Pelodiscus sinensis: one gene and its partners. The protein of the gene in region 1 purifies or fractionates together with the protein of each later gene. This does not show direct contact. Links are inferred from orthologs where the notes say so. Each region holds a gene or a part of one and is shown in the gene's direction. Other genes may lie near its edges. The genes, in order: PARP1, TCF7L2, DNA repair protein XRCC1 and CTCF.

Region 1 (7,546 bases):
TTTTCCTGGTGGAGGGAAAACTGTATCCCTTAATCAACAAGCTACACATATGGTTTTGGCAGTGAACAGAAGGTATATACACTCAGAATATAGCTGTATTATTTCACCAGTGACTACAGGTACACTATGCTCCTATAAAACTGTAAGATGTTACCATTCATTATGTACATAAAATTATACACTGTACCTATTGTAATTCTGAAATATTCAATTTTATTTTATTTTTTTGAATACCACAATCCCCAGTAAGTTCATGTCAGTAGGGTTCTTTTGCAATGATCTTAATCAGAGTGGTATTTACAAGTTACATAAGTTATATACTGACCTAGTTAACCATAGTTCCACATTGTACAGATAGCTGTCAACTGGGATCAAACCTGGGAGCTTCAGCAACCTTGCTAATTAGGGAGAATTCTAAGATTCTAACCTATGCCCAGAACTAAGGAAGATTATGGATTCATTACAGAACCACAGAATTGTAAATGGACACTAATACTTGCCCGATCTACACACACAAGTCAGCTTCCCAATAATGCACAGAGTATAGGACTTTTTTGTGACATTTTTGTGCATTCACATCTAAACACAAGTGATTTTTCTGTGATTTTTGCCTGGCACATGCGCGCACACACACACACAAACAGGCAATAAGCACACAAATTGGGTGAAGGCTTAAAGATTTTACCAAGCAAATATTAGGGTAAAATACAATGCTTAATATTAGAGTAAAGTACAATGAAGCAAATTTAGAATAAAGTACAATACTTATTAAGAAAATACAATCCTCATTAAGCCTAAGCAAACCTCAGAATAAAATGCAATGCCTATGTGCCGGGAACCCCCTGAAGAAGGACAGCAGACAGACCCCAGTGGCCAGTACATAGCACCTTCTGTGGCTTTGGTCTACGCCGAGGTTCTAATGTTAGGAATATCCCTGGTACTTATATACTGTTGGATCTACAGGAATTACCCCTGTTGTTTTGAGAACCTAACAAGATCGTTGATACATTGCATATTTTCCCCACATCCAATAATTAGCTTTTTGATACTTTGTATATTTTCCTAGGCCAAGTAAGTAGCATTATCAGGTTGGAAACATTCAGCACAGATATCTATGTGACCTTCCCAAGCCCTCCTGCACTCCCATACCAGGTGCATGGCCTTGGGAGCTGTCCCAAAACTTGTTGAAAGTCAACAGTGCATTCCTACACTGTACCATCTTGAGCAAACAGATAACTCTTTGGCTATGTCTACACTGGCGGCTTTTTGCGTAGTAACATCTTAGGCAAGGGTTCTTATGCAAGAAGTCTTGCGCAAGAAAACGTCCACACTGCCATGTGCGAGCTATGCTTTTGCACAAGAGCGCCCATGGCAGTGTGGACACTCTCTTGAGCAAGAAAGCTCCGATGGCCATTTTAGCCATAGAGCTTTCTTGCGCAAGAAACCGCTGTCGAGTGTCCACACTGCCCTCTTGCACAAGAGCCCCTGCGCAAGAGGGCTTATACCTGTTAAAAAAGAGCGTAGTTCTTGCACAAGAAGGCCTCTCTTACCACGCTGTACTGTAAATCTTCTTCCGCAAGAGAGGGTGGGCAGTGTGGATGCTCTGCGGCTTCTTGCACAAGAACAACTGTTCTTGTGCAAAAACCTGCCAGTGTAGACATAGCCTTTGAGAATAACAAAAGAATAATAAGAAGCAAAAAGCATAAATGGCTGCCTAAAGCATCCAGGCCTGTAAGAAAATGCAGGCACGAAAGGAAGGATTGTGGTACACCACCTAATTTCCTCAACCTTACAATCATATTCCCCCCCCCCCCCCCCCAGCGTCAGATTATGCTCTTGACATAAAAGGACAGAAGTGGTTCATTACCTGCAGATCTCCCCTGAACTCTATGGAGATTAACATCAATACTCCACCACTGGGGACTCTCTGCAGGTTCAGGGCCCATATCAGGGAAAGGAAGCTGAGAATGTGTAAATGCATGGGTCACACCTGATCCCTGGAAACACTCAGGCTGTGTCTAGACTGGCATGATTTTCCGCAAATGCTTTTAACAGAAAAGTTTTCCGTTAAAAGCATTTGAGGAAAAGAGCATCTAGATTGGCACGGACGCTTTTCCGCAAAAGCACTTTTTGTGGAAAAGCTTCCATGCCAATCTAGACGCGCTTTTTCGTGATCGGGGCTTTTTTGCGCAAAACAAATCTGAGCTGTCTACACTGGCCCTTTCGTCAAAAACTTTGCGCAAAAGGACTTTTGCCCGAATGGGCGCAGCATAGTATTTCTGCAAGAAACACTGATTTCATACAGTAGCAAGTCAGTGTTCTTGCAGACATTCAAGCAGCCAGTATAGACAACTGGCAAGTTTTTCCGCAAAAGCAGCTGCTTTGTGTGTATCTACACAGCAAAGTTATTTCGGAATAACTATGTGAGTGTCTACACAGCAATTCTATTTCAAAATTATTTTGAAATATTCTGACTTCTGTAAAACTCATTCTACGAAGAATAACGCCTATTCTGAAATAGCTATATTGCAATAATGTGTGTGTAAATGCTCCAATGCTGCAATTATGAAATAGGCCCTTATCAGGGCCATTCTAAGTTATTCCTTCTGGAGCTCTAAATTGAGATAGCACGTCTACATTAGGGAAGCCTGCCTTGGACTAATTTTTAGGCTTCCCTGCGGTATAGACATGCTATTTTGAAATAAGCTATTTTGGAATAACTATTCCAGAACAGCTTATTCTGAAATAACTGTGCAATGTAGATGTAGCCTCGCAGTCCATCCAGCTTGCTGTCTGGTGGTGATGAGTTTCACAGAGACTGAATTAACTGTTTTTGCGGTTCCCTCAACAGTGAAGAATTTCCCCTTTCAGAGGAATCAGGAACTAGCTAGTTGCCATTGGGCCCATGCTGGGAAAGGGGTGTTGATTCCCTAAAGCAGTGGTCACCAACCAGTAAATCTTAGCTCTTGGAGCCTCTGACAGGTGATCCTGCCTGGTTTGGCCAAGAGGCTATCAAGTGCCAGCACTTCAGCTGCCCCTCCTCACACTGCTGCTCATCTCCTGCCTCTCCCACTGGGGAGCCACCTACTTTCTGGGCAGGGCAGGGGAGGAAGATGAGGAGTGATGATATCAGGGTGTCCCCTCTCACTCTGTATCCTTTCTCCACAAAGCAAAGAGTGGGCACAACAAGACTTGGGATGGAATTTGCTGGCTATTTTAAGGAGTAGGTCACTACATCACCAATCAGGAGCCACCTAGGTATGCAAAGCCCAGGTGGAGCCCACATCCTGAACTCCTACATTGGTCATGAACCTTCCCCTGCACCCCAAGCACCCCTCAGAGCCTGCACTTAGAACCCCTCCTACATCCCAGCTGCCTGCTCCAAGAGTGGCTCCAGATCCCTTAATCCAAGACCAGAACCTGCACCCCAACTCTCTGCCCCAGCCTGATGAAAGTGAGTGAGGATGGGCAAGAGAGGGAGGATGGAGCAGGGGTGGGGCCTCAGAGAATGGAGGGGGCCTATTTGAAATCATGGGATGGTGGCTCTAAAAGCCCCTCCCCAACCTTATGGGAGGGACACTGGACCCATGTCCAACTGATTGCTTGGGACAAATAATGACTAAAGGATCAAGAAGTGCGGGCTAGAGGTTCAAAATAAGGGAGCCGGATGGGGACACCGAGCAGAGAACCCCGGACAGCGCCCACTGCTCCTCAAAGCTGTCGATGGAGCCAGTGGACGCCGCCCAGAGGAACTCTGCCCGGATTCATGACACGAGGGAGGAGCAGAAATAGGCCCCACAGTTGCAGAGAACCCCCTTGTCTAACTTCCTCCTCCTGCTATTATAAATGGCAGCTTTCGCTAAGGCCAGGAGGAGGTTGACGAGGAGGTCTCGCGACTTTGTGGGGCCACGGATTGGGTGTGCGTAAATAAAGGGGGAGAAAGTTGGGGCAAGAGTAATTATATTTGAGGTAAATCTTGGATTGCACTTAAATTCAAATGATTTTTCTGCTTAAAAAGGTTGGAGACCCCTGCCCTAAAGCAACTCATGTAGGCACAGAGCCATGAAGTGGATCCTGGACAGAGGGGGACTGGTAAGGTGTGGGAGGAGCTCTGTGGAAAACAGTGGAATTTTCCTCCACCTGTGAGTTTTACCCCCTGGAGCCAGAGAGTTTTATCTCTGGCCCGGTTATATCAGCCCAGCTGTAAGCAGGGGCTAGATCTGAGGGTACAAACAGCCTCACCCAGCTCTAACTTCAAGGGACACGTTCTAGCGCCTTGAAGCGAGCAGGCGGCCAAGGAACGGGGGGGGGGAGGGGAGCGCTGTGCGGCTAGAGGCCAGCAGACCACACAGCCCCGGCCTGCAGCCACTCTAAGCAGCCCCGCTGGCTGGGACTGGCAGCTGCAGCAGCAACGCGGCCAAGGGGCGGGGCTCCGCTCTGCCCCCGCCCCCTACACTGCGCGCCCGAGCAGGCGCTGCCATGTGACACCTTCCCGCGCGCCCCAAGCTGCGTCCTTCTTCCCATCGCTCCAGCGCAGCGAGCCGGGACACGCGCCGAGCCCGGCCAGGGGGCTCAGTCGAGCGCTGCACAGCGGCTCGAGCGGCGGGGCTGAGCCCGGGTGGATTGCGTGGCGCTCGGCTAGCGCGGCGGGTGCCTGCGCTCGCTGCCGCCGGCTCCCGCGCGTCCCCTGCCCGCGCTCGCCATGGCGGAGCCGGCGGACAAGCTGTACCGGGCCGAGTACGCCAAGAGCGGCCGCGCCTCGTGCAAGAAATGCGGGGAGAGCATCGCCAAGGACTCGCTGCGCCTGGCCATCATGGTGCAGGTACCGCGTGGGCCGGGAGCCGGCACCGCCCCCAAGCTCCCTGCGGCTAGGCCGGCAGCGGCCACGTGCCGCCTTCCCCTCGGCGCCCCGGGCCGAGCGTCCGCCCCATTCATCCCTCTCGGTTTGCAGCGCGGCTCGCGCTCCGCGGCTGCAGCCTCTGGGGCTCGCGCGGCGCGGCGGGCTGGGGTCAGCCGGACTTGAGCGGGGTTCCGAGTCGCGAGCGGGGGGCTGCTCTTGCAAGCTGGAGGGGATCGCTGTTTCCGCAGAAGATGGTGTGATCGGTGCACATCAGTCAGAAGCAGTGACGTGATCTCCGGCTGCCCTGACTAGGGGGCATTCGAAGTCCATACCTTGAAATGAGCGAGAATGCGAGATGAAAGGCAGAAGGCAGAGTCATCATTCCCAAGTCATTGCGTTGTCTCAGCTTGCTTGATGCTGTGGTTAGATGATGGCAGAAAGCAAAGAAAACCTTAAGTTATGTGCTAGATGGCTTCCATTTTAATTTCTCTCTATTTGGTTGACAGTAATTAGTTGTGTAATTTTTAGCTGATTTTCACAGGAAGGCATGATTTATTTAGAGTTGACGAAAAGCAGTATAAATTCTATCCCTGATAGAATCTCAGTCCATGTGATACTGGACTCTAACTACATTCACTTCCTCACTGGGGAATATTGGCCATTTACTCCTCAGTATATTTTTTGTGAATTGCTTATCATTTGTAAAGTACATTGGAATGCTCTGTTTACCTCAAACAAAATACAGGACTATGTAGCACTTTAAAGACTAACAAGATGGTTTATTAGACGATGAGCTTTTGTGGGCCAGACCCACTTCCTCAGATCAAATAGTGGAAGAAAATAGTCTCGACCATATATACCCAAGGATACAATTTAAAAAAAACTGTTTACCTCAGTCTGCAGCTTTGAGACCTGTATGTGGAGACAAATAATTGCAGATGGGGGAGGGCTGGAGGTCAAAATGAGGCATTTAGTTGAAGTGTGAACTCAATTTCCATTATTGCTGAGGAACTTTGAAGGCATTTTCCTGGGCAGTTTAAGATGTGTTTTGGACAATGCTATTTGTGTTTGATACACAAATCTTCCTTCCTGTCTGTAGATGAGTTTAACCTATTTTTAGTGGCAAGTAGCATTCCCTCTCTCCCCTTTTTTGATCTTTGCATTTGTAAAGAAATCTGCTTTACCACCTTATCAGTGAATTCTCACACCTTGCTCTATTTTTCCCTCTGGTTAGATGCATTTGTTGCCAGGTCTGACAAGACAGCAAAGCTGCACAGAAGGCTAGTGTACACAAACCTAGGAATTTACCAAGGTTAAAACGTGGTTATGATTACTCTTTTTCTTTTCTTTTTTTTTCAGTCCACACAGGAACACGTGTGTCATAATTATAGTTTGGCCACATCCATGATTAAACCTGGTGCAGAGGCATTCTTCTGTCCTTGGAATTAATACCTTCTTAAACGACATATCAGTTAATTGATTAAACAGGATTTTACATAACCCTAGGCTTGCCTGCGGTAGTGATCACTTACATCCCTAATGGGGAAGAGTCACTACATGTCTAGTCACTTCTCCCCTCTCCCTCCCTCCCCCACCATGCGCAGTGGGGAAATGGTGCAAGTGGGGATCGAAACAGTCCATGCTCGCGAGGGTTCCCAGCTGTGCCTCTGCCTTTGAAATGCACAAGTCGCAGGCGGCCCCCCTTATCGACTAATCAAGTAGTCGAAATTCCATCGACTACTCGATTAGCTATTGAAATTTAACATCTACCACAGACCCTTTATGGAGAGAGGTCTAATTTCTGTTGCTGTTGCCTTTGCTTCAGCCAAATAAGATAACATTCCAGAGTCTTGAGCACTTCACAAATTCCTCAATAGGGGACTTTTCAGATAATGTCCAAGTGCCAACTATTCCTAGTGTGGTTGTGTTCTGATCCCTACATCTCTATGAGCAGGGCTCGCCGAACTGCGGCGAGCCCTGCTTGCCAGCCGCGCTGTCCGGCTATCTGCACATGCGCAGATTGCCCGAACCCAGCTCTTCTGGGTTGGCGAGTAGATTGCATTATTTGTCTAGCTCTGCCTATGAGTGAAAGTAGCACAGGAGGGAGATCTCTTCTCGTTAGGGTAGGGCTTGAAAAATCTGTCCAACTCCCACTGAGTTTATTCACCACTGGCTTGCAGCCTTCTGCTTCCCAAGAGGCACTGATACTCTTCTAGTTGTTTCCATTAAATATAGGAGGTTCCCCCATGAATGGCAAAGGTTTCCTGCATGCCTTTTTTTCCCCTCCCAAAATAGAGCTGTTTGTTGTAACGTAGGTATTTAGCTCTGTAAAACACAAAACCTCAATTTATTAAACTGCCTTTATATTTTTCTTCCTTCCTTTTCTCTTCACTTCTTTTCTTTCTACCACAATATAGCTAGGTATCTTTTCCTCCATCTGTTTTGGTGTCTGCTCTGTTTCCTCTCTTGCCCTCACTTTATTCACTTTACTCTTGCCATTCCTTTCTACCTTATTCTCTGCTTCCCAATCAGACCCGTACACAGAGGGGGTGCAGAGCGTGCGACTACACCTCCCCCTGCCAAGGCTGGGGTGGCATCTAGCCAGCTGGGGGAAGACTGGGGTTGATCTCCCCCCACCATGGGGGAAGAGGCAGGCCAGCCATGGGAGTAGGGCAGCCACCAGCTCCTTCTATGGCTTGCACCTCC
Region 2 (7,851 bases), on another chromosome or scaffold:
TTTGGAATTCCTGCAAAAATAAACACATGAAATTTCTATTTGTGTTAATTTGTTTGGAAAATATAGATAAATAAGTATACAGGACAATTAATTTAACTAAGCACCTTTACAGTAATTGAATATGGATGTTACTGGTTTTCTTGAATTTTATTTCTTTTTCCTTTAATATTTAGAAACAGGCCAATTCTACAATGATGGCCGAAAGCCTATAAGCACTCCATCTATCAGCGTTGCACAAATAAATCAAACTAAAGCAGCCCAATTCTTGTAGACTGGCATTAGGGTAAGTATACCTTAAGAAAGTTCTTATTCAGACTTGGCTTCAGGCAATAAAACGTCATAGATGTATAACTCTGGTGAGTGAAATTTCCAGGGAGCAAATTAGGCTAAAAACATCTTCTAGAGACAGCTAGAAAGAAATCTGACACCACCCGAAAATAAGGCAAGTTATTCAGTAAATGTTTCATTTATTGGGATTCTTCCATTACTATTAGGGTTAAAAGACATGCTGTCAATAAAAATGGTATAGTTATGGAAGATTCTGTGTTTCAGGAACCTCTCTCTCTCTCTCACACACACACACACACTCTAATTCTTGATATCACCCCCCCACACACCCTACCTATAATTTTTTATATCACCTCCTGATAACATGTGATGACATTCTGCATGCATACACTTAACCAGTTTGGTAAAATTATCTCTGTCCAAATCAAGATGCATAGCAATACTTTAGGCCAAAAACCAGAATATTCCTACTGCTTCATAGACATGACTTGTGAAACAGAATATGGATTTAAAGGAGTTAGATCTCATAGTTGTAAGTAAAAGGTCTCTGGGTGTCTGATTTCTCAGGTTCCCTCTGACAAGCTGCAAAGTAAAGGAAATATCGAAGGACCAAACCACCATCAGGTTAGCCCTCACAAAAGATAAAGCAAACATAAAATCTCACAGTGGAACTATAACTTTGTGTTTTAGACATTCCCCTATTTTGTAGATTATTTATACTTCCACATATTTTTGGGCCAGTTCTCTAATTATCTAGAAAAGCCAGACTTCTATCTTTTGGCTCTGTAGCCTTGTCTATCCTAGAAACATTTCCCACCCTTGCTAAGGTTGGTGGAGCTGCATACATGGCAGTAACGTTGAGGATGCCAGCACAGACAGAGCTCCACGTGGTCACCTTTGAAACACTCAAAGTCCCTCAAACAATAGATTAAAATCCTAGCATGGTCAACTCAAGCCATTCTGTGCTTCCGATATAGATGGGTAGAGTTCTGTTCTGTGCTTGCAAGTCTACAGTAGAGGGGCATTTGGAGAAGACCTTAGAGGCAAAGGTCCTGTCCCACATGTAAAGCAGTGTTCTACTCAGTCCAAATGGTAATTAGTAAACCATATTTCTCTATTAAAGACATGGCTGCTGAGGGGACACGAATTATTCAAAATAATTTTTCATGTAAGAAGGTGTTTACCCTACTAGCCTGGACCAAAATGTTCCCTTTCCTCTCTGTTGTGGATTGTGTATCCCCCTCCCTCTGCTTTTCATGGACTAGTACTGTTGGTTCCTGCTGCGGAATCTTTTGGGTTGAAAGGCATTCCATGAATATAAAATACTCACTATAAACAATACAAATTCCCTAATTTGACCTTCTCCCCATTGTTTACCAAAGCAAGCCCAATGTAGGGAGTACTGTGCCAAGGCTGAGAGCTGTGATGATCTAGACAACTTTGCCAGGCACAGGACAACTCTGCCAGGATAACTGATGTCTATGGAAGGCCAAACTCTCAGCACCTGCCTTTGACACACCACCTGTTGCTTCAAATTGGGTATCAAAACAATCAATCACATGTTTCACACAGTGGATTAGCTTGACTTTTTTCCCTCTGAATATTATATTACTCTGGCTGTTGCAAGTTACACATTTTTTATCTTGGGTACCCTCCAGCTAACAGGTGCTCTTGACCCTTTGGGATTTCATTTCCCCAAAGGCATTTGTATATTTGGAACTCTTAAAATTGGAAACCAGGAAATAAATAAGATCTGATGTGTATGCTACTAGGAGTAACTCTGATTCCTTAATTAAATAATGGCATTCTAATAAATGACAGCACGGTGACTTGCCATTGTTTTTTTTTTTAAATATTGACATTTGAAAGGATAAACATGTGTCATAGGAAAATGCATAGGGTTAAGATAACTAAAGCCCTGATCCTGTGATGAACGTTGTATGAGGTCCCTTTGACCACATGGGGATTCTGTGCAGGTGCAAAGATCCAGCCATGCAGGTGCAGCGAAGAATATGTTCCAGGATTGGGACCTAACACTTGTCTCAGGATTTGCTAGGGACAACCTGTGCACCTGGATTCCCAGTGCAGGATCAGGGCCGAAAACTTTAGCGCCTGATCTTACAACCGTTTAGGAACATCAGCAGTATTACTTACATGAGGAATCCATAAATAAGCTTATGCATATGCATAACTGTTTACAGAATCAGGTCCTTTATTTGTTAGCTCCCTGAGGCGGGGATTGTCCTGTATCTAGTAGGAAACCAACCACACTCTAGATGTTAAACAAGCAATGGCACTAATTACAGTGCAAAATTGTTAGGGAAGAACGTTTGCCAAAAATCCAGACCAGATCATAAAAATCCCTTTAAAACAAAAGAGTTTTTTTGTTAAATTGGATCATCTTCTAATGCTTGGTCCTATAAAGTAAGCAGAAGTTCAGGTTGCGTGGTGTTTCTAATCTCACCTCACACCAGAGTTAAAAAGATTTTAAAAAATCAAAAGGCAAACAAAATTGAGTATATTTGTTACTGTGGTTTTTTGCAAGTAAACAACTTGCAGAATGTAGCCATTACATAGCCAGGGATAATTGAGAAGTGTGTGACCAACCATAGCTATTTTGAAAATGTCTAAAAGTAAAAACAAGTTAGTCAAAAGACCAGAAGAAAAAGAAACTGTTAAATCCATTTGTACATTGATTTAACAGTGAAGTATTTCATTCTTCATGTTTTTACTTGGTGTCTTGAAATAATCCCTTTTCTGTCTCCATACTCCCATTTAGACATTGTTCACAGACTTATTTATTTATGAAGTCTGAAGGTTAGTCCCTACCTGCTGAGACTAATTAGCCCTGTTCTTTGTGTCCTATGCAATCCTGTCTGATTAAATGTACACATTTGTTTTACTTCTTTTCATGCTTCCTTTCACTCTATTTCTGCTTTACTGATTAATATTAAAGTTGTAAGTTGCAGTGATTTTTTTATTTCTATTTTGTCTGCATCTTTCCCTTTAGTATGCAAATTTCTATGTGAACTTTTTAATGCCTGAGAATTTGTTAGCCTTGTCGATCTCTGTATTATTATTTTTATTATTCTTTTCAGAGAAGACAGTTTAGCTGAAATCCCCAAACTCTCTAAATATTGCATGACAAATTGACTTTGTTTTGAAAATCCTACGTGCTGAATGGCCCTTAGTAGGAGCAGCAGGTTAGATTTCTTGGGGAATGTTTGGATTATTTAGTACAGCCCGTCTCCTTGCTTTCTAACACCATTTTCCATTAGGCAATTTACTAATTCCCATTGAATTTACTGTCTCTGTGCCCCCCTCCCTCCTTTGTTCCTTGCCCATGTTAAAGTTTCCCATTGACTAGACCATTGTTAAAATTTGTCACTACTAGCAGATCAATTTGTTTTCCTCTTCTCTTCAACACATTATATTCAGGTACCAGATGTCATTTCTTGCATCTGCATTATTCTGCTCCCCATTTTGTTGCTGTGCAAAGTCTGCTGTTTGGGTAGTGACTTTTTTTTTTAAACTGCTGCCTCAAATCCTTGAACTGAATACCCTTTCCTTGTGTCTTGGTGGTCAAAATCCCCCCTTCAATTATCTACATTTGGTAACTCATTTGCTAGCCGGCTGTGGGACCATTCATGTGGTCCTATTTATTCCAGTGCATCTGGCCACTTTCATTTTAATTTTCCTGTTGTGATGCTTCCAACATCAGCACCAAAACTTTTCACCTCTAAAGTCACATAGTTCTTGATCTCCCCCCTCTCTTACTAATTAATGCATCAATCACATTCCCTTTCGTCCCATTTCCCCCCATTACGGTAAAAATAATATGTCTGACAAAAAGTTTTTTTTTTTTGAGAAATCTGAACACTAAAGAGTTATCTTGCCTATTTTAATCCAACAGAACTATAATAACAACAATAAATGTAAAAAGAAAACGCTAGGTAAGAAAAGAGCTTTTATGACATTATTATTTTAGTTTCTTACCTACAACCATTGGCCATAAAAAAATCTTAACGGTTTAACAAAGCAACCCCAAAACCTAACCACACATAATAAAAATACTGAAACAGGGGAGGTTTGAGAAATTGCACTTTCCTTATGCATACAAATCTATCTATTTAATCGTCTCTGCTCTGCAAAAGTTAGTGCTTTGCAAACAGCAGGCAGAGGGGCAGGCATCTTTCCCTCTTTTCCTAACTCCTGTATATATATTTTTTCCTTCTTGTGCAAATTGACTTCTGAAGTACAGTGCAATTTTTTGCCTTCTCTCCCCCTCCTGCATGTGTTTTGTTTTCCTTTGGGTCATTCCCTTACAACTGATGGATTCCCTCCTCCCCCTCCATTGTCTCCCTTAAATCCTTTCCCTTTTCCCCCACCCTAACACTCTCTCTCTCTCTCTCTCTCTGGCTCTTGCCAAAAAGGATCATTGTTAGTTTCTCCACTCCCCCACCCCCCTTCCTTCTCTTTCTCCCCTCGCTCATTCCCCAAACCTGTTTATTTATGCACACGTCACCCGGGGAGCCCCCGCCCCCTCCTGCATCTCATTAAGTGCCTAGTGTGCTTCTCTCTCCCTGTCAATAATCCCGAATCCCAGACTTCTCCGTTCCTCCGGATTTCGATTCCCCTTTTTCTATCTGTCAATCAGCGCCGCCTTTGAACTGAAAAGCTCTCAGTCTAACTTCAACTCACTCAAACCCGAGCGGCACGGGCTCCCTAGATCGGCAGCCGCTGCCCCCCCAGCCAGCTGACTTCTTGTTGGGGTTGTTTGTATTTTTTTTTAAATTCCCCTCCCCCCCGTCTGTTTTTTTTTTGTAATTATTATTATTCCCCCATTTGCTGTGCGTCCGTGCGCACGCTGATCCGCTCCCTGGAAGAAAGAAAGAGAGAGAGAGAGAGAGGGGGAAAAAAATCCAGAAGAAGAAGAAGAAACCCAAAGTCACTGGTGCAAAGAGCAAAGGAAAGACATTTTTCTCCCCTCCTCCTCCTGCTTTTTTTCCCCTCCCCAGGCGGAAAGAGAGAAGAAGAGAAGGAAAAAAACCCATTCACCTTGGACTTTTTTTTTTTTTGCAAACTTTTTCCTTTCTTTCCCCCCCCCCCTTTTTCCCCCTCTCTCCCCTTTCCCTCTTTGCAAAATTGCTGCTGGTGGGGTGAGCCGGGAGGAAAATGCCACAGCTGAACGGCGGTGGAGGGGACGATTTGGGGGCGAACGACGAACTGATCTCTTTTAAAGACGAAGGGGAGCAAGAGGAGAAGATCTCCGACCACTCCTCGGCCGAGCGGGATTTAGCTGATGTCAAGTCCTCCCTGGTCAATGAATCAGAAACGAATCAAAACAGCTCCTCAGACTCGGAGGTAAGGAGGGAAAGCCCCCAAATGCCCCCTCCCTTCCGTGGGTTTGGGGGCACACACAGGTGGGGGGCAGAAGGGGTTTGCTTTGCCACTGGATGTAGCAAGTAGGGCGCGCGTGTGGGGGGAAGCGTGGTGTGTTGCAATGTTGCGAGAATGTTTGTTAAGTTTCCTCCATGGCACCAACTTGTAACTATGTTTCTCTCTCTTTTCTCTCCCCCCCCCCTCCACCTTTCTTGTACCCCCCTCTCCCCGGTGCTGCCAGGCGGAGAGGCGGCCTCCGCCTAGGTCCGAAACTTTCCGAGATAAATCGAGAGAAAGTTTAGAAGAAGGTGAGTACCCCCCCCAAAAAAACCTCCCAGCTCTGCGGGGCGACCTGCCGAAACCCAGCTGCGCCCGCCGCGTAACTTTTCAATGCAGGAGGGGTAGGCGGGCAGGGGGGGGGGCACTTTCCAAACAAAGTTTTTTTTTTTATGTGTCCTCTTTTGTTTGCCCCCCTTTTCACCCCCTTTCTCTCTCTTTCTGCCCCGCCATGTTAGCTGCGAAAAGGCAAGATGGAGGGTTGTTTAAGGGCCCACCATACCCTGGTTATCCTTTTATAATGATCCCCGACCTGACCAGCCCGTACCTCCCCAATGGATCGCTCTCGCCGACAGCACGAACAGTAAGTGGCGCATATCCACCGATGTGTGTTTTTTAAACGTTTGCTGCTCTGATTGTACATTTCCTTCCTCTTCCCCCCCCCCCCAGCTCTGAGTCCCCCGATGCCTCCTGCATGCCCCCCTCCCCCATCGTTAGAAACTTTCCAAACTTTTATGGCTTTTGCAGAATGGGATTTGTTTACACTTCGCCATATTTTTCCCCTTTTTTACTTTCAGTTTTGCGACTAGGTCTTTTCACCCCGTGGATTTCGATTCTTAAAAAAAATCCCACAATCTAAAAACCCCGGGCTGTGTTTTGGTTTCTTTTCTCATCAGCTAGATCGCAAATCTGATTTCCACAAAACTATTTATTTTCCCTGGTGAATGAGCTGTTTTCTTCTGCCCTCTTCAGTGGCGTCTTGATCTCTTCCCCTCCCTTTTTTAACCTCCCCCTTAACCCCTTCCTTGCTGCATAAGCTGTCTGGGATACCAGTGTGCTGTATTGGCAAGTCACCAAGTTCTATAGTTTCTCTCTTACCCTGTTTTGTAAAGACTAGAAACTTTTTTGTAAAGTCCATTGCAAGTTTTCTGGCCTTTTCACTTGAGTTCAGCAGTTTCACTCTCTGTCTATGGCAAGTGTGGTTTAAGTTTTTACACGTTTTGAGGTGGTGGCGGTTGACACTGAACTACACACTAACATCCTTGATTATTTTACACATGCACAGACCTTGATCAGGGAGATGCATCCATCTCTTTAGCGGTGACAAGGAAAAGCCCTTCCTTACCCCGACCTAAACACGTTGCTCTTATTTTGCAAGGGGAGAAAGACCTGAAAGGAGTTCTTTATTTGTGTGTCTTGCTAAAATAAGTCCTGGAAGGGCTTAGAGCAGATCACAGACTAACAGTGATACAATAAACAGAAACTGTCTTTAAAAATGAATACATTAAACACCTTCGCACATAGAAGTGTAGTCTTGCTGCAAATAATAATCTTAATAATAATCTTGCTGCAAATATGTATGTGTGTGTCAGTGTGAAGGGTTGGATTTTCTTGGGAAAAGAGTAAGTGTGTGTGTGTGTGTGTGTGTGTGTGTGTGTGTGTGTCTGGTGGAGGAGGGAGGGTTAGTAATTGTAGTTCAGATAGTGGAGTTCTATTAAACTTTGGGCTGTGATGGGGTAGGCTTGGCTGCTGTTTCTCCTTTGATGTCTTGGAGTATCTATCACTAACTGCTATATGCCCCGATGTAGCACATATCAAGACTAATTTTTTTAAAAGGAGGGTTTTTTTAAAAATTATGAATGGTAAACCCATGGGGAATACAGAATGTTAAGAAGTGTTTGTTTACACTTGCCCAGCAGTTGTCTGTTAGCATTCTTTAGGTGCTTTTAAATCTGAAGGGTCCCCCGCCATTACCATGTATCTATTTACACGTTTTTTTGTAACCTGAGAGAGCAATTTGAAATAATAGATCTACTGTTCAGTAGATGTTGAATCTGTGGTAATGGCTTAAGTCTTGGACGATCCCAGTTTATCAGATCTACAAGTGTTTCAAAGCATTAAAAT
Region 3 (7,850 bases), on another chromosome or scaffold:
GGGCTCTGGGCCCGGTCCCAGGAGGGCAGCGGGGTGCAGTGGTTAGCGTAGGGGCTGGGCGCCAGGATGCCTGGGCTCTGGGCCTGGTCCCAGGAGGGCAGCGGGGTGCAGTGGTTAGCGCAGGGCCGGCCAGGGGGCTGGTTCGTACACTTCAAGGCCCCCTTGTTGCACAGGTCGCGCTGGCAGCACTTGGCGGCGCTCCGCACGCGCAGGCCGAAGGCGGAGCTGAGGCTGGAGGAGCGCGGGGGGCAGAACTTGGCCTCCGTGCAGCCCTTGTACGTGCCGATTTTCCGCTCCTTGCCTGCGGGCGAGACGGGAAGAAGAATCCCTGGGGCTGGACGGGCAGAGCCGGGACCCAGCCCCCCGCGAAGGCTGCCCGGGGGCCCCAGGGGGATACCAGCCCAGGCTAATAGCCATGGATGGACCCAACCTCCATGAATTTATCTCGCTCTCTTTGGAACTCTGTTAAAGTCCTGGCCGTCACAACATCCCCTGGCGAGGAGTTCCACAGGTTGATGCCAGAGCACCTCGCACGACAGGGCCCCGATCTCAGCCGGGGTCTGGGCAGCGCCCGGCGTGCTGGGGACCCCGCTGGCTGGCTAGCAGCTGTGCCCAGCCCCTCCCCACCAGGCTGGCGGACACGCAGCCACTCACCGACTGTGGTCTCGGAGGTCAGGATGAGGCAGGAGGTGTGGGAGGGCTCGCAGTCCTGCGGCTCTCCGGAGCACGCCTTGTCAGCGCTGGTGCAGCGTTCGCACTGAAGGCAGCATCCTGGGGAGGGAGGGGGTTGGGGGGGTAACCTGTAGGGTCGCCAACTTCTCCCCCCCCCCCCCAGATCATTCCAGTGCGGCAGCCTGGCCTGGTCTCCCGCAGCGCTCCTTCCAGGCACTAGCAGAGCCTGGCTTGCAGCAGCTGTTCTGGGAGCCAGGACTCCTGGGTTCCTTGGTTAGGGAGTGGAGTCTAATGGTTAGAGCAGGAGGGTGAGTGAAATGGAGCTGCCAGAAGGCCTGGGTTCTCTCCCTGGCTCTATGGGGGCAATGGGGGGGGTAGTGGTTAGAGAGGGAGCTCTGGGGAGTCAGCGGGGGGCAGTGGTTAGAGCAGGGCCAGTGCCGAGGGCAGCGGGGGGTAGTGGTTAGAGAGGGAGCTCTGGGGAGTCAGCGGGGGGCAGTGGTTAGAGCAGGGGCAGTGCCGAGGGCAGCGGGGGCAGTGGTTAGAGCAGGGGCAGTGCCGAGGGCAGCGGGGGCAGTGGTTAGAGCAGGGGCAGTGCCGAGGGCAGCAGGGGCAGTGGTTAGAGCAGGGGCAGTGCCGAGGGCAGCGGGGGCAGTGGTTAGAGCAGGGGCAGTGCTGAGGGCAGTGAGGGGCAGTGGTTAGAGCAGGGGCAGTGCCGAGGGCAGCGGGGGCAGTGGTTAGAGCAGGGGCAGTGCCAAGGGCAGCGGGGGCAGTGCCGAGGGCAGCGGGGGCAGTGCCGAGGGCAGTGAGGGGTAGTGGTTAGAGCTGGGGCAGCGGGGGGCAGTGGTGAGCGTGGGGGCAGCCCCTGGGGCAGCGGGGGGCAGTGGTTAGAGGGAGGGCAGCCCCAAGGGTGGGGGCGGTGGTTGGCGCCAGACTCCCACTCACCGGTGGCCAGCAGCGCCGCGAGCAGGCAGAGGGCGAGGCGGGCGGCCATGGTGCCGAGCCGAGCGCCGGGCAGGAGGGCAGCTGACCGTTGGATGCAGCCAGCCCTGCATCCGTGGGGATTTATAGCTGCGGGGCCTGGGAACAGCCAGTTCCTGGAGGGATCCGGCTGCGGGGCCATCAATTACCTGGCCTGGCCCTCTCACAGGTGGCCACGTCTGCCTTTCCTGCCAGCCGGACCCGCCTGGGGACGTGGCACCACAGCCCAGGGCCGCCCCTGCCAGGCCGGGGGGATCTGGGGCGGGGAGAGGCCGGGGCTGGGACATGGGGCGCCTGAGAGCATCCTCATCCCCCGTTGCCCCAGCCCAGACCCCCCCCACGGGCCTTCTGCCCCTAGCGCAGGGTTCCCGGAGGGGGGAGCCCAGCAGGGACACGGCCGGCCGGTGCCCAATGTGGGCAGGGTCTGAGCTCTAGGGGGGACACAGCCCCAATGCCAGGGAGACGGGCTCCGAGCACCCCACACGCTCAACAGCCACCAGCAAGATTCCCACGCTGGAGCACGGGCTGCCGGCCGGCTGGTCCGCAAACCCCGGGCGTGCGAGGCGCTGCCACGGGCACAGACAGGCTCCTGCAGGCCGGGCCAGAGCCCCCGGAGCCGGGTTAGGGGGAAACTCCCTCCGAAGAGGCTCTGGGGCACCTACCCCCACCCCAGGCTGGGCCCAGAATGGCGCGGTCCCAGGGCAGTAAGGAGCCCTGAGAGGCCACACGATGCTGCTTGTATCACTGCCCAAAGGAGGGGTCCACTCTGGGTGGGGACTGGGGCCTAGTGGTTAGAGCGAGAGGCGGTGGGGGCCAGGACTCCTGCGTTCTAGCCCCAGATCCTGGAGAGCAGTGGTGTTGAGCGGTGAGAGGGGGCAGGCAGGGAACCAGGACTCCTGGGTTCTTACCCCACATCTGGGAAAGCAGTGGGGTCTAGTGGTTAGAGGGGCTGGCGGGGCGCCCAGGTTTCTGTCCCAGCCCTGGGAGGCCAGCAGGGGTCAGTGGTTGGAACAGGCTGGCCAGCTGTCAAACAATGGCCTTTTGTTTCCCGCACTGATTTATTGGGGACTGGCTGCAGGGAAGGAACCAGAATTGCCCCCACCCAGGAGTGGCAGGAGGGGGGTTCACGGCCCCACATGGGGGAACCTCCTGGGGGGCTGGAGCACAGACCCAGCCGCAAGGAGGGCGCAGTGTTGGGGACCAAAGGGGGGGTCTGGAGCAATGGGCACCTTGGGACCACCCCACTCCCGGGTGATGCTGGTGTCAGGGTGGGGGGCAGGTGGCCTCATGTGAGTGTGAGGGGGCCCGGCCAGCTGTCTGGTGGGACGGAGAGCAGCCTCTTGGGGGTCTGGCCCTGGGCCCGGAGGGGATCAGCCAAACCTCTCTGGCCCCCGCGTCTGCGCTGTGGCTGATCCCTGCCCCCAGGGCAGGGGGGCAGATGGTAAGTGGTAGCTGCCGCAGGCGGCTCTAGGTGACACGGGGAGCTGGCCGGGCTGGGGACAGCGGCGGGGGCTGGAGAACCCCCCCCGCCAGCCTCCCGCCCTGCCCAAGTGCAGCGAATGCCCCAGCTCGGCACGACATCTTCTCCCAGGCCCGGTGGGTCTCGGCCCTGGGGCAGCTCAAGCCAGGGCCCCCCTGGCTGGCATTTCAGCACGGGGGGGGGGGCAGTTCAGCATGGGGGGCATCTGCTGGAGGCCCTAGGAACCGAGTGTGGGGCAGGGATTGTTACAGACTATGGTGGGCTCAGCCCAGGGCCGGGAACCCTGTCCCACGCCCCGCGGGGGCTGGGACTCCAGGGTTGGATCTGTGGGGAGTGGGGGCTAATGGTTAGAGGGGACCCGGGAGCCAGGACTCCTGGGTTCTCTCCCAGCTCTGATCCCTGGCGGAGGCCCGGGGCCCAGGGTGCTGAGGGAGGCCTGGCTGGGCTGGCTGGGGGCCGGCCTGTGCAGCACAGAGAGTTTCTGGCCCAGGCCCCAGAGAGGCCCGGGACAGGCAGGCAGAACGGCAGCAAAGGCTGAAGCTGGAGTGACAGCCCCGGGCCCCCCTCGCGGGCTCTCCCGGGCTCTGATGCCTGGCTGGAGGGGCAGGCCTGGGTGCTAATTAGGGTGACCCTTTTTAAAGGGACAGCGCCATATTTAAGCCCTCCCAGGGGAGTCCCAATTTTTTCTTAAAAATGGATGCAGCTCCCGTCCCTCCTGCATGGTGCCGAAAGGGCTCCTGCTGGCCTCCTGGTATGACCCTGCCCCTGCCTGCCCCCCACCCGCTGCCTCAAGAAGGCGCAGCACTTGGTACCAGGAGAGGCGGGTCCATCCTGGCATCCCAGCCAGGCATGGGGGGTGCAGAACACTGGGCAGGGTGGGTTGGGTCAGGCTGATTGGCCACACTCACCCCTGTGCGAGAGAATGTGGGAAAGTGTGGGTGTGCCCTGTCCCCTTGCAAGAGAGTGTATAGGAATGAGTGTGTCCCCTGTCCCTATGTGAGAGAGTGTATAGGAATGTGTGTGCCCTTTCCCTGTGCAGGAGAGTGTGCAGGAATGTGTGCGCCCTGTCCCCGTGCGAGAGTGTGCACAGGTGTGAGCGTGTCCCCGTGCAGGAGAGTGTGCAGGAATGTGTGCGCCCTGTCCCCGTGCGAGAGTGTGCACAGGTGTGAGTGTGTCCCCGTGCAGGAGAGTGTGCAGGAATGTGTGCGCCCTGTCCCCGTGCGAGAGTGTGCACAGGTGTGAGTGTGTCCCCGTGCAGGAGAGTGTGCAGGAATGTGTGCGCCCTGTCCCCGTGCGAGTGTGCACAGGTGTGAGCGTGTCCCCTGTCCTTGTGCAAACCTGGCAGCCAAGAGGGTGACTACAGGCCCCAGCTGGTAGGGTTCTGGTGAGCAGGGGCTCGGTGACCGAGCTGTGATTTGCACGTGTGCACGGTTGTGGTGAGCTGTTGGTGAGCTCGCGTGCGCACGAAGCGCGGCACCAGCGATCGCCCCGAGCCCCGGCAGAGAGGAAGGGGGCACGTGCTCCATGACGTCATGACGGCCTTAGAGGCGACTTTCCTTCTGTGCCGCCAGGGGGGGCAGCACCGGTGGCAAGGCGCATGCGCCGCGATCGAGCGGGGAACGCGGGAAAGAGGCGCGAAGGGGCCACCGGCGCGCGCCGCTTCAGGCGACGCCGGGCGCTGCGCATGCGCATAGCCTCTCGCTGCGCAGCGGCGCCTGCGCAGAGCGCTCGGAGGACCGGGCGCACACAGAGCCGGAGGCGCAGAGCGGTTCTGCTTCCGGCGGGCGGCGGAGTTTTGCTCCCGGGTCGGGGCGGCGCGGAGCGCGGCGATGCCGGAGATCGGGATCCGTCATGTGGTGTCCGCGAGCAGCGCCGACCCGGTGCGGGGCAGACCATTCCGGGGGGGGGGCTGGGAGAGACCATTAGGGAGTGGGGGGGTCCCGGGGAGGCGGGAGGGGCATTCCCCGTGGAGCGCGGGGGAGCAGGGCGGGAGAGTCCATTCCGCGCGGGGGTGCGCGGCCCCCTGACAGTCTCCCCCCCCCCCAGACTCACTGCGCCGAGAACCTGCTCAAGGGCGACACCTACCGCAAGTGGCGGGCGGCGCAGCCCGGCGAGAAGCAGCTGTCAGTCATCCTGCAGGTGGGGGCGGGGCGCCCGGACCCCTGGGCTCTGGGGGGGGGGAGGGGCGGGGAGCCCGGACCCCTGGGCTCTGGGGGGGGGGGAGGGGCGGGGAGCCCGGACCCCTGGGCTCTGGGGGGGGGGAGGGGCGGGGAGCCCGGACCCCTGGGCTCTGGGGGGGGGAGGGGCGGGGAGCCCGGACCCCTGGGCTCTGGGGGGGGGGAGGGGCGGGGAGCCCGGACCCCTGGGCTCTGGGGGGGGGAGGGGCGGGGAGCCCGGACCCCTGGGCTCTGGGGGGGGGAGCCCGGACCCCTGGGCTCTGGAGGGGGGTGGGGGGGGGAGCCCGGACCCCTGGGCTCTGGGGGGGGGGTGGGGGGGGGGAGCCCGGACCCCTGGGCTCTGGGGGGGGGAGGGGCGGGGAGCCCGGACCCCTGGGCTCTGGGGGGGGGAGGGGCGGGGAGCCCGGACCCCTTGGGCTCTGGGGGGGGGGAGGAGCGGGGAGCCCGGACCCCTGGGCTCTGGGGGGGGGAGGGGCGGGGAGCCCGGACCCCTGGGCTCTGGGGGGGGCTCGTCCCCGGCCGTGACTGTCCCCTCCCCGGCGGCAGTTCGAGAAGGAGGAGCGGATCCACAGCATCGACGTGGGCAACGAGGGCTCGGCCTTCGTGGAGGTGCTGGCCGGCAGCTCCGCCTCGCCCAGCGAGCAGGACTACGAGGTGAGAGGAGGGAGCCGCCCGTGCTGGGCTCCGGGCGCCCCCAGGCCTGGGTGGGGGGCGGGAGGGCCGAGGGTGGATCGGGTTCAGCGACCCCTGGGGGGTTGGGTCAGGTCCATCGGCCACTCTCATCCGTCTGTGAAAGAATGCGGGAAAGTGTGTGTGTCCCCTGTCCCCGTGCGAGACAATGTGCAGGAATGTGTGTGTCTCCTGTCCCCGTGCGAGACAATGTGCAGGAATGTGTGTGTCTCCTGTCCCCGTGCGAGACAATGTGCAGGAATGTGTGTGTCTCCTGTCCCCGTGCGAGACAATGTGCAGGAATGTGTGTGTCTCCTGTCCCCGTGCGAGACAATGTGCAGGAATGTGTGTGTCTCCTGTCCCCGTGCGAGACAATGTGCAGGAATGTGTGTGTCTCCTGTCCCCGTGCGAGACAATGTGCAGGAATGTGTGTGTCTCCTGTCCCCGTGCGAGACAATGTGCAGGAATGTGTGTCCCCTGTCCCCGTGCGAGACAATGTGCAGGAATGTGTGTGTCCCCTGTCCCCGTGCGAGACAATGTGCAGGAATGTGTGTCCCCTGTCCCCGTGCGAGACAATGTGCAGGAATGTGTGTCCCCTGTCCCCGTGCGAGACAATGTGCAGGAACGTGTGTGTCTCCTGTCTCCGTGAAGGAGAGTGTGTAGGGATGAGTGTGCCCTGTCCCCGTGCCAGAGAGTGTGCGGGAATGTTCCCAGAGGTCTTGGTCCCTTTGGACTGGGGTGGTGACGGGATTTGGGGCGGGGGACACCGGAGGGTTAGGGAGCCTTCTCTACACCAGGGTCCCTCCTCCCCAGGTGCTGCTGGTCACCTCGTCCTTCATGTCGCCCTCGGAGAGCAAGGCCGGCACCAACCTCAACCGGGTCCGGATGTTTGGCCCAGACAAGCTGGTGAAGGCCGCGGCTGAGAAGAAATGGGACCGAGTGAAAATTGTCTGCACTCAGCCCTACACCAAGGTGGGGCCCCTCGCACGCTGGCCAGGGTGGAAGGGATTCCGCGGGGGTGAGCCAAAGGGGCAGTGCGGATCAGTGGCCATTTTCACTACACCCTGCTGAGGTGGGGCAGGGGTGACGTGCTCCAGGGACAGTCCGGACTGGGGAGTAGCTGTGTCGCTGGGACACTCGAACCCGACTGCCTCTGGGTCCAAAGAAAAATTATCAGAGAGAAAGACACAAGCCAGACCTTCCTTTACCATGCTCAGTGACTGGAGAGCAAGGAGGGCTTTTCTCTTTCGCAGGCTGAATTTCCTTTCAAGCTGGGACTCTCCCCTTTGGTTCAATCCATCCAGCGTTCACTGATAACATGAAATGGGAGAGGTGAGGTAGAAGCCCCTGGTATCCTTCTCCCCCATTGCCTCTCATCTTATGTACATGCGGCTTGAACTCTCTCTTGTATACAATGAACATTTCTTATTCACGCATTTCCCCTGTTGGAGACTGGCTGCCAGAGCACGTAATGCCTGGTGGGGTATTGAGCTGGTCTCTGTCTACCCAGGAGGTAGTCTGGGGGTATTCCCCACAGTAACTTCAGAGTAGAAGGTTATAGCTTTATACACAGAGTTGTTCCACATTTTAACAGGACAATGATGTTCTGCAGATTATGAGTTTTCACATGATACTTCCCGAGGCAGACTTTGTACCAAATGTATGATAACAGTGTGAAAGTGGACACAGTGGGTAAGTGGAGGAAGGATGAGGTCTAGTGGTTAGACCGGGGACAGGGGCTGTGAGCCAGGACTTCTGGATTCTCTCTCCAGCTCTGCCAGTGAGTCACTTTCTTTCTGGCTGATCTCCTGTAGACCTTGGCTTATGGGCTGTCCTTCGTGAAGTTCCACTCGCCGCCCGAAAACAATGAAACC
Region 4 (7,499 bases), on another chromosome or scaffold:
GAATAATGGGGTTAAACTGCAGCAGGGGAGGTTTAGGTTGGACATTAGGAAAAAGTTCCTGTCAGGGTGGTTAGGCACTGGAATAAATTGCCTAGGGAGGTTGTAGAATCTCCATCTGGAGATACTTAAGAGTAGATTAGATAAATGTCTATCAGGGATAGTCTAGACAGTACTGGGTCCTGCCATGGGGGCAGGGGACTGGACTCGATGACTTTGAGGTCCCTTCCAGTCTCTCTCTGAAAGTATGGATCTCTCACTGTTTTCTGTTGTGCTCAATGTTATGATTATATCATAGATGCTCATGTAGTATATTGTGAGCACCCCATCTCAGAGTGGACATCACAATTACTGGATCTGTGGTCTGCCACAGGAGGATGGAGGATAGGTCCATCGATGGCTATTAGCCAGGATGGGTAGGAATGGTATCCCTAGCCTCTGTTTGTCAGAATTTGGGAATGGGTGACAGGAGAGGGTTCACTTGATGATTCCCTGTTCTGTCCAATCCCTCTGGGGGCACCTAGCATTGGCCACTGTCAGAAGACTGGATATTGGGCTAGATGGACCTTTGGTCTGACCCAGTATGTCTGCTCTTATGTGCCATGGAAAGAAATAACTCCAGGTGACTTTTGGTATTCATGGAGCAGCTGCACAGCATGGACTGTTGCTTTTGGATTCAGTATGCAAGCAGAGAATGGTGGAATTGCCTCATGCAGCCTTGGGATGACAAGCAGTGGCTGCAGAACTTTCAGATGGAAAAAGTCAATCTTCAAGCAAGTATGCATTGAGCTCACCGCAGCACTGGGGCACAAGAACATCAAAATGAGAGCTTCCCTCTTGGAGAAGCACATGATGATCACTGGAGCTCCAAATCCAGATGCTGCTTGTTGGTTACATATCAGATTGGAGTTGTAAAGTCAACCGTTGAGCAGTAGTAACACAAGTGCAGGGCCATTAATCACATCCTGCTACAAAGACTGTGACTCCTGGCAGTGTGCATGAAATATTGGATGGCTTTGTGGTAATGGGATTCCTTAGCTGCAGCGGGGCAATAGATGGCATGTGTATTCCAATTTTGGCCCCAGACAATCTTATGATGAAGTACCTCCGTAGAAAGGAGTATTTCTCTGCTATTGCAGGCACTTGTGGATAACTATGGGTGTTTCACTGACGTCATTGCTGGATGGTGCACACGTCTTCAGGAACAGTGGCCTCAACTGAAAACTCCAAGCAGGGACTTTTTTCCCGACCTAGATGTTGAAATGCCCCTAGTCACTCAGATGCAGGGTATCCCATTCCCAGGACTTGTGAAATCTTTCACAGGAAACCTGGACAGCAGGAAGAGATGCATCCACAGTAGGTAGAGCACGTGCAGAATAATCATGTGCCTTTGGTGGAGTAAAACCATGCTGGCGCTGCGTTTGTGGCAGGTTAGACCTAAATGAGGAAAATCTTCCTGGGGTCATAGCCAGTGTTCCCACTAATCTGGGCAGCAGCAACTTCACAGGTGATTAATGAGCTCCATCCTGTCAGTCTCAGGGCTCCGTGCATGGAGCTGACTGACTGGGCAGAACTGATTAATCACTTGTGAAGCTGTGCTGCCCTGCAGTTTAGAGGGAACACTGGTCATAGCAGTCTGCTGTGAGCTTCATCATATTTGAGACTAAAAGTAAAACATTTCTCGAGGGGGCACAAAGGCAGTGTTCCCTCTAATTTTTCCCATGCGTGTGCAGAGTTAATTATATGTGCACCAGTATGGAGGTGATGTGCGATAGATGCTGTCACATAGTGTGGGGGAGTCATCAGGCCCTGCACCCCCATCTGCAGTCATATGTGAGTCTCGGACAGCAAATAGAACGGAAGGTGTATTCGTTGATGGGGACACAGCGTAGCACAGACTTGTTACAGGAACCGGGAGCAATCAGTATAATCCATCTTGTGGATGAGGGGTCTAGAGCCCTCTGGGCCCCTGCCCAGCCCCCCAAGCCAGCTAGGCTCTCTTCTCCCTGAGCCAGCTGAAAAACTAACTCTTGCACCCATCAACTGACCCCAGCCCTCCAGGTAGCTCCGCCTCCTCCTTTGTCCTGCTTCCAGGACCCCAGATATTATCTGACTATCACTGGTTGCATCTTCCTTCTAGGGTCAGGTGCCAGGCTGTCCTGGGCCATTCCTTCCGTGCCTTCTCTCAAGAGTTCTCACCCAAAGATCCCATCCCGTTCCGTGCAGGTGTGGTGTCCACACACAGACGCACTCACTACAGAGCAGTCTAGGACAGTAGGAATCGCATCATAATAAATCGAACAGTGAATACAAAACCAGAGTGTACGTCACAGATGTATCGCCTCCACATTGGTGCATATAACAAAATTCACGTGGTGGGGATGGGACTGGGGTTTGAAGGATGGGGGCAGGGGAGGCTGAGGCAGAAGGTTGGGTTATAGGGGTATGTGTGGGGTGAGGGCTCCAGCGGGGAGTGAGAGCTCTGGGCTGGAGCAAGAGATGAGCCGTTTGGTGTGCAGGTTGTCCCAGGGCTGCAGCAGGGAGAAAGGACTCACCCCAGCTCTGTCTCCCCACAGCAGCTCCTGGGCTGGTGCTAGGGAAAGGGGGTCTCTCCCCATTGCAGCCCTGAGAGTCTGGCTGCGTGGCCCTTGGTAGGTGTTGTACAGTTACACCGCTTAAAGCGAGCTTATCTTGGCTGCTGAATTTGAGCAGCCAGATACCAGGGCTGTTCTAAGAGGGAGGAATTCCAATCTGAGAGGGGCCTTAAGGCAGTATTTTGACAATGAGCACAACTAATGTGTTTTTCCATACAGCACTCTGCCATGCTTTGTTAAATTGCCACCTTTCATGAAAGTAGTAATGATTCTGATCAGGATTTGTAGTCAGTAAGTGATCAAACTGCCACTGTATTACTACTAGCAGCGAGCATCCCATGTAAGAGACAAAGCTGGCTTGTGTTTCAAAGAGTTTGATTTTATTAAATACCCAATTAAAGCACACTGAAGGGTTGGTGGAAAGGGAGATTAGAGCGCAGGGTAGTAGAGGGTCTCATAACTTTGGGTAAGTTCAGCTGTCATTTGGAAACTGTCCGAATGGTGGAGTAAACAGCATACAGAGACAAGTCAGGAAGTTGCGAGGAATGTGAGAGCAGTTTGAGGGGGACATGAATGTCAGTTCTGTATGTGTTCTGCCTGGTGCATGATTAGGGACTTCAGCATCTCTGCTTGTTCCTCCATCACTTGGTTCATCCACTTCTGGCCCTTTACAATGCATTCCTCACTCTTCTTTCAGTTCTGCCTTTCTGTTTTAAAATTCTCCTTCAGTGTCTCTCTCCACTCTCTGCATGGGTAGATGGCTTAAGGGGATTACTGCAAGTGATCAGGGACAATATTGTAAATTCTACAGCCAATCTGTGGTCATTGAAGCCGATACCTCACTCCTAAGGCATCAGCAAGATTGCATCTTCTGGACGTGTGGCTCAAACTTGCTCCTTATACTGCTGGTATGTGTGCTGCTTTAGACCCCGCACAAGTGATTGGTACAGGAAAACTCCCTACGATAGGGGAAGGAACAAAGGTGCTCTGCCAAGGGACCTGTGGCAGAGGATTGGCGAGTACCCCCAGGAAAACTTCTTAGATCTCTGTGGAGGAGTCCTATGAAATCATGATGTGCATTAATGCATTGTTCTACCACGTTGCTTAGTACTACAGGAAATACGGAGCACACTCAAACATAGCTAACCTTGTACATTTCTATCCTGTCACCCACTTCAGGAGTATACAGAGCAAAGGGCAGCTCTGCCTCTCTTAAAACCAAGCAACATCAACTCAAAAATATCTTTTACCAGGGTTCTCTTCTGCATCGTGCACACCATAGACAGATGGCTGGGACTAGCTAGACCCCTCCAGAATAGAAAAAGATCCTGATCCAGCGTGCTGCCCGACAGCCCTGACGTGCTCCAGATCATAATCCAGCTTGATCTCCTTATTCACAACTTCGTCCTCATGGTTGAGTCCACTTTCCACCGCCTCCAAAGTATTCACAGGTCTCTTGGCAGTGAAGGTGGGGTCTCCACCAAAGATGGTGTCCAGATCCACATAGAAGCAGCAGGTCGCCAGTACAGCACCAGAGTAATGGTTTGCTTCCCTTGCCTTCGGGTATGTTTGCCTCACCTCCTTTATCTTCACACGGCACTGATGTGCATCCCGTTCATAGCCCATATCCAAGAAACCACGAGAAATCTGCTTGTAGGTATCAAAGTTTCTACAGCTGGAAAGGAGCTGAGACTGCACATGCCAGCAGACCCAACAACTGAGGCGTGCTCCACGTGGGAGAGTATTTGCTGCCTGGAGCTCCTGGAGCTGCCATGGCCAGCTGGAAAGATGTGCTGTAAGCTCTCCAAGCTGAGAAAACAGGATGTGGAATTTCAAAAATTCACAGACATTAAAGAGGAAGGGGCAGATGCCTTTGTACCTGGGTGCAGGGTCAGGATAGGCATTATGGGACATCTGGCCTCAAGAAGGCGTCCCATAGTTTCCCATCATGACTACACTGCTGTCCAGCAATCAGGTACACAGGTATATGCCCTTCCCTTTTAAAGCCCTGGAAATTTTTGAAATTCCATTTCCTGTTTGCTCAGCATGGAGAGATCACCTGATGCCTGCCCAGCTGCTCCATATGCTATACATGCTTCTGCCCAGAGTGCCCAGGAGATGGTGGATTGCCTGGGTCTGTGGGGAGAGGAGTCTGTGGGCTCAGTGCAAATCCAGCTGAAGAAACATTGTTATTCCTCTTCCTTAGTTCACATCGCAGGCAGGCTGGGTCTGACCTCATTCAGAGAAAATCGCAATAGGCGCATTTCCAGTGTGCTATTACTACCCAGACAGCACTCTTTGCACTCCAGTATGAACCTGGAAAAAACCTCAGACAGAGCACACTGCAACACACATTACTATGGCTCAATATTAAGACAGCCTTTCAGGCCTCCCTGAGCTATATAGCTCTGTGGGCTTCTCTTATAGCCCTGGTATCTGTCTGCTCAAAATCAACAGATAACTGTTTCACTTCTGCTTTCAACCTCAGCAGATACTTTCCCCCTTTTCTTCACAACTATTGTGAAGCGCACGGCAGGCATCTCTAATCTTTGGGATTTTTTTCACTGAGATCTAATCTTGTGAGGAGGAGTAGATGAAGTTCTTGCTGCTGTGGAGGTGACCAGCATACAGCTTCATCAGCCATAGGAGTAAGAGAGGCTGGGTCTCCCAGGGTCACTGCTGGCATTTCAACATCTACAATGGTTATCCTCTCATCTGTAAATGAAGTCCCTGAGTGGCGCTTTCAGAACAGACCTGTGTTCTTAATTACATGTATTTTCCATGACTCTCTTCCACTTGCGTTGGCATAACTTTCCTGGTGATCCACCAGCACTTGCAGTGACATAGAGCAGTGTCCCTTTCTGTTGCTGTTCTCTGTGGCAGGGTTGTCTGGTACCAAAATAGGAATATGTTTGCCATCTATTGCCCCACTGCAGTTTGGGAACTGTGTTGCTGCAAAGCCATCCACTACGTCCTGCACGTTGCCCAGAATCATGGTCCTTCACAATAGGATGTGATTAATGCCCTGCATACTTGCATCACAGCAACTCCCAGCATGGATTTCCCAAATCCAGTTCCTGACTAATAGCAACCTGGCATTGCAAGCTTCCACACAGCCATTGCCTCTTGCTTCTCCACTGTCCATGCCACTCTCATTTTGGTGTCACTGTGCCAAAGTTCTGGGTCGAGCTCTGCACAGACTTCCAGGGATATAGCCTTGCACATTCAAAAGTTCTGCAGCCACTGCTGGTTGTCCCATACCCACATAACAGTGTAATCCCATCAGTCAATGCTTGTTTCCCAGGACCAGAATTAGGGCTCCACTGTCTGCAGCTGCTCCATGAAAGCGAACAGCCGAAAATTGTTTCCTTCTGTGTCCCACAGCAAGGCAGCCTCCAAGGAATCATCTTGTTCTGCCCGGCTCCTCTGGTGGCTTTCCAAATACTGCAGATCAGGCTCAGCGTGCTCACAATGCCCGCCCAGTAGTACAGAGCTATGGAGTATCCATGCTTCTCACAGAGTTGGCAGACGTGCAGATTAACAGCACATTTGAAAAGAAGCTCAAAACATTACAGGAAGCAGATAAAATTATGGGATGAAGAATACTGCCTCGTGGGATGTTGAAACCATGTTTCCAGTCGTGCTGCACAACTTGTTTGCCCCCATGAGGCACTGCAAACCCTGCGCTAGATGGTGATGAGTTCAGTGGGATAGCTACCCATGGTGCACTGCTCTGTCAGTGCTACTAGTGAGACTGTGCACCATCGACACAAGAAGCATAGTGTGGATGTGCAGAACGATGTAATTACTGCTGCAGCTGTACATGGAGGTAATTTAAATTGACTTAATTTTGTAGTGTACACTTTGCCTTAGTCAATTTCTCAGCCGCTGCTTTCCTGAAAAGAGGTGGTAGATAAGTGACTGCCTGTGATGTTTGTAGTAAAGAAAAAGGAGCTGAAGAAATACATGCGTCTTGGTTTCCTTCTTGATTAGTAAGTACAGATGGAAAAGTGGCTTCCGCTGACAGATGCAGTGATACATTACTGGAGCTTGTGGACATACAGATTTATAGGACTTTGTGCAAACGTGTTCTACCCCAATGCGTTAGAGTGACTGCAACTTCTGAGCACAAACAGTTTAACTATAATCCTAGGGCCCTTATTCGGTTTCTTCTTTTGATCCTTATCCCGTCTTCCTTATCATGCTGCCTTGCTCCATTCACTCCTCTCACTAGAGTGATGTCTGTCAGTATCGCTTATCCTTCTGTGTCCCTACCCAAATCCCCGGGCTAATTATGATTCTCAGCCAGGGGCCCCGGTCCCCTAGGGGATCACAAGCTGGTTTCAGGTATTCACCAAAATAGGGAGTAGGGCTGGCATTAGACTGGCTTAGGCCCAGGACAGAAAGCAGAAGCGCAAGTCCCACCACTCAGCCCTGCGCTTTGCTGGACACCCAGTAGCACGAAGCCCCAGGCAGTTGTATTGTCTGTTGCCCCTTGACACCAGCCCGCAATGGTAATCTACTGGATTTGCAGAAAACCAGTTGGTGTGGGCTGTGGGATTTGTATAGCATGTTGGGGGGCATCAGAATAGGAATGTAAATCTCGTTTAAATGGTTATCCAGTTAAACACATTGTTAAACATACTGGTTAACCAATTAAAAGGGAGCAGTCTCCACACTCACTGCTGGCCTGGAGCGCCTCCCCCTGCCTGCTGCAGGCAGGGGCTACTCCAGCCTGGACAGAGCAGCCGCTGCCTGCTCCCCTCCTCTCCCCCTGACACAGGCAGCAGCTGCTCTGGTGCCGCTGTCAGAGCAGCCCCTACCTGTGGACTTAGGCTGCTTCAGCCCCAAAGCTAGTCCAACCCCTGCCTGCAGCGGCCTCCCTGTGGGGCTGGAGCAGCCTCCTGC

The links.
Region 2: the proteins of PARP1 (region 1) and TCF7L2 purify together in Homo sapiens (affinity purification with mass spectrometry; 3 studies listed by BioGRID and IntAct, with this or other methods). This does not show direct contact. The link is inferred for Pelodiscus sinensis from reciprocal best matches to the Homo sapiens genes PARP1 and TCF7L2.
Region 3: the proteins of PARP1 (region 1) and DNA repair protein XRCC1 purify together in Homo sapiens (affinity purification with western blotting; 9 studies listed by BioGRID and IntAct, with this or other methods). This does not show direct contact. The link is inferred for Pelodiscus sinensis from reciprocal best matches to the Homo sapiens genes PARP1 and XRCC1.
Region 4: the proteins of PARP1 (region 1) and CTCF purify together in Homo sapiens (affinity purification with mass spectrometry; 6 studies listed by BioGRID and IntAct, with this or other methods). This does not show direct contact. The link is inferred for Pelodiscus sinensis from reciprocal best matches to the Homo sapiens genes PARP1 and CTCF.

What each region holds. Positions count from the first base shown.
Region 1 is NC_134713.1:157,460,432-157,467,977, reverse strand, and holds the start of PARP1 (poly [ADP-ribose] polymerase 1), read left to right. Parts: upstream 1-4,533; 5' UTR 4,534-4,702; coding exon 4,703-4,822; intron 4,823-7,546. UniProt on the Homo sapiens protein: Poly-ADP-ribosyltransferase that mediates poly-ADP-ribosylation of proteins and plays a key role in DNA repair.
Region 2 is NC_134718.1:65,218,599-65,226,449, reverse strand, and holds the start of TCF7L2 (transcription factor 7-like 2), read left to right. Parts: upstream 1-4,851; 5' UTR 4,852-5,463; coding exon 5,464-5,652; intron 5,653-5,911; coding exon 5,912-5,978; intron 5,979-6,185; coding exon 6,186-6,310; intron 6,311-7,851. Other genes in the region: VTI1A (vesicle transport through interaction with t-SNAREs homolog 1A), read left to right, coding at 174-212. UniProt on the Homo sapiens protein: Participates in the Wnt signaling pathway and modulates MYC expression by binding to its promoter in a sequence-specific manner. Acts as a repressor in the absence of CTNNB1, and as activator in its presence.
Region 3 is NC_134734.1:123,887-131,736, forward strand, and holds the start of DNA repair protein XRCC1, read left to right. Parts: upstream 1-4,850; 5' UTR 4,851-4,959; coding exon 4,960-5,010; intron 5,011-5,176; coding exon 5,177-5,269; intron 5,270-5,853; coding exon 5,854-5,961; intron 5,962-6,789; coding exon 6,790-6,948; intron 6,949-7,790; coding exon 7,791-7,850. Other genes in the region: phospholipase A2 inhibitor and Ly6/PLAUR domain-containing protein-like, read right to left, coding at 149-301, 655-771, 1,615-1,663. UniProt on the Homo sapiens protein: Scaffold protein involved in DNA single-strand break repair by mediating the assembly of DNA break repair protein complexes. Negatively regulates ADP-ribosyltransferase activity of PARP1 during base-excision repair in order to prevent excessive PARP1 activity.
Region 4 is NC_134722.1:48,651,640-48,659,138, forward strand, and holds the start of CTCF (transcriptional repressor CTCF), read left to right. Parts: upstream 1-4,494; 5' UTR 4,495-6,414; coding exon 6,415-6,420; intron 6,421-7,499.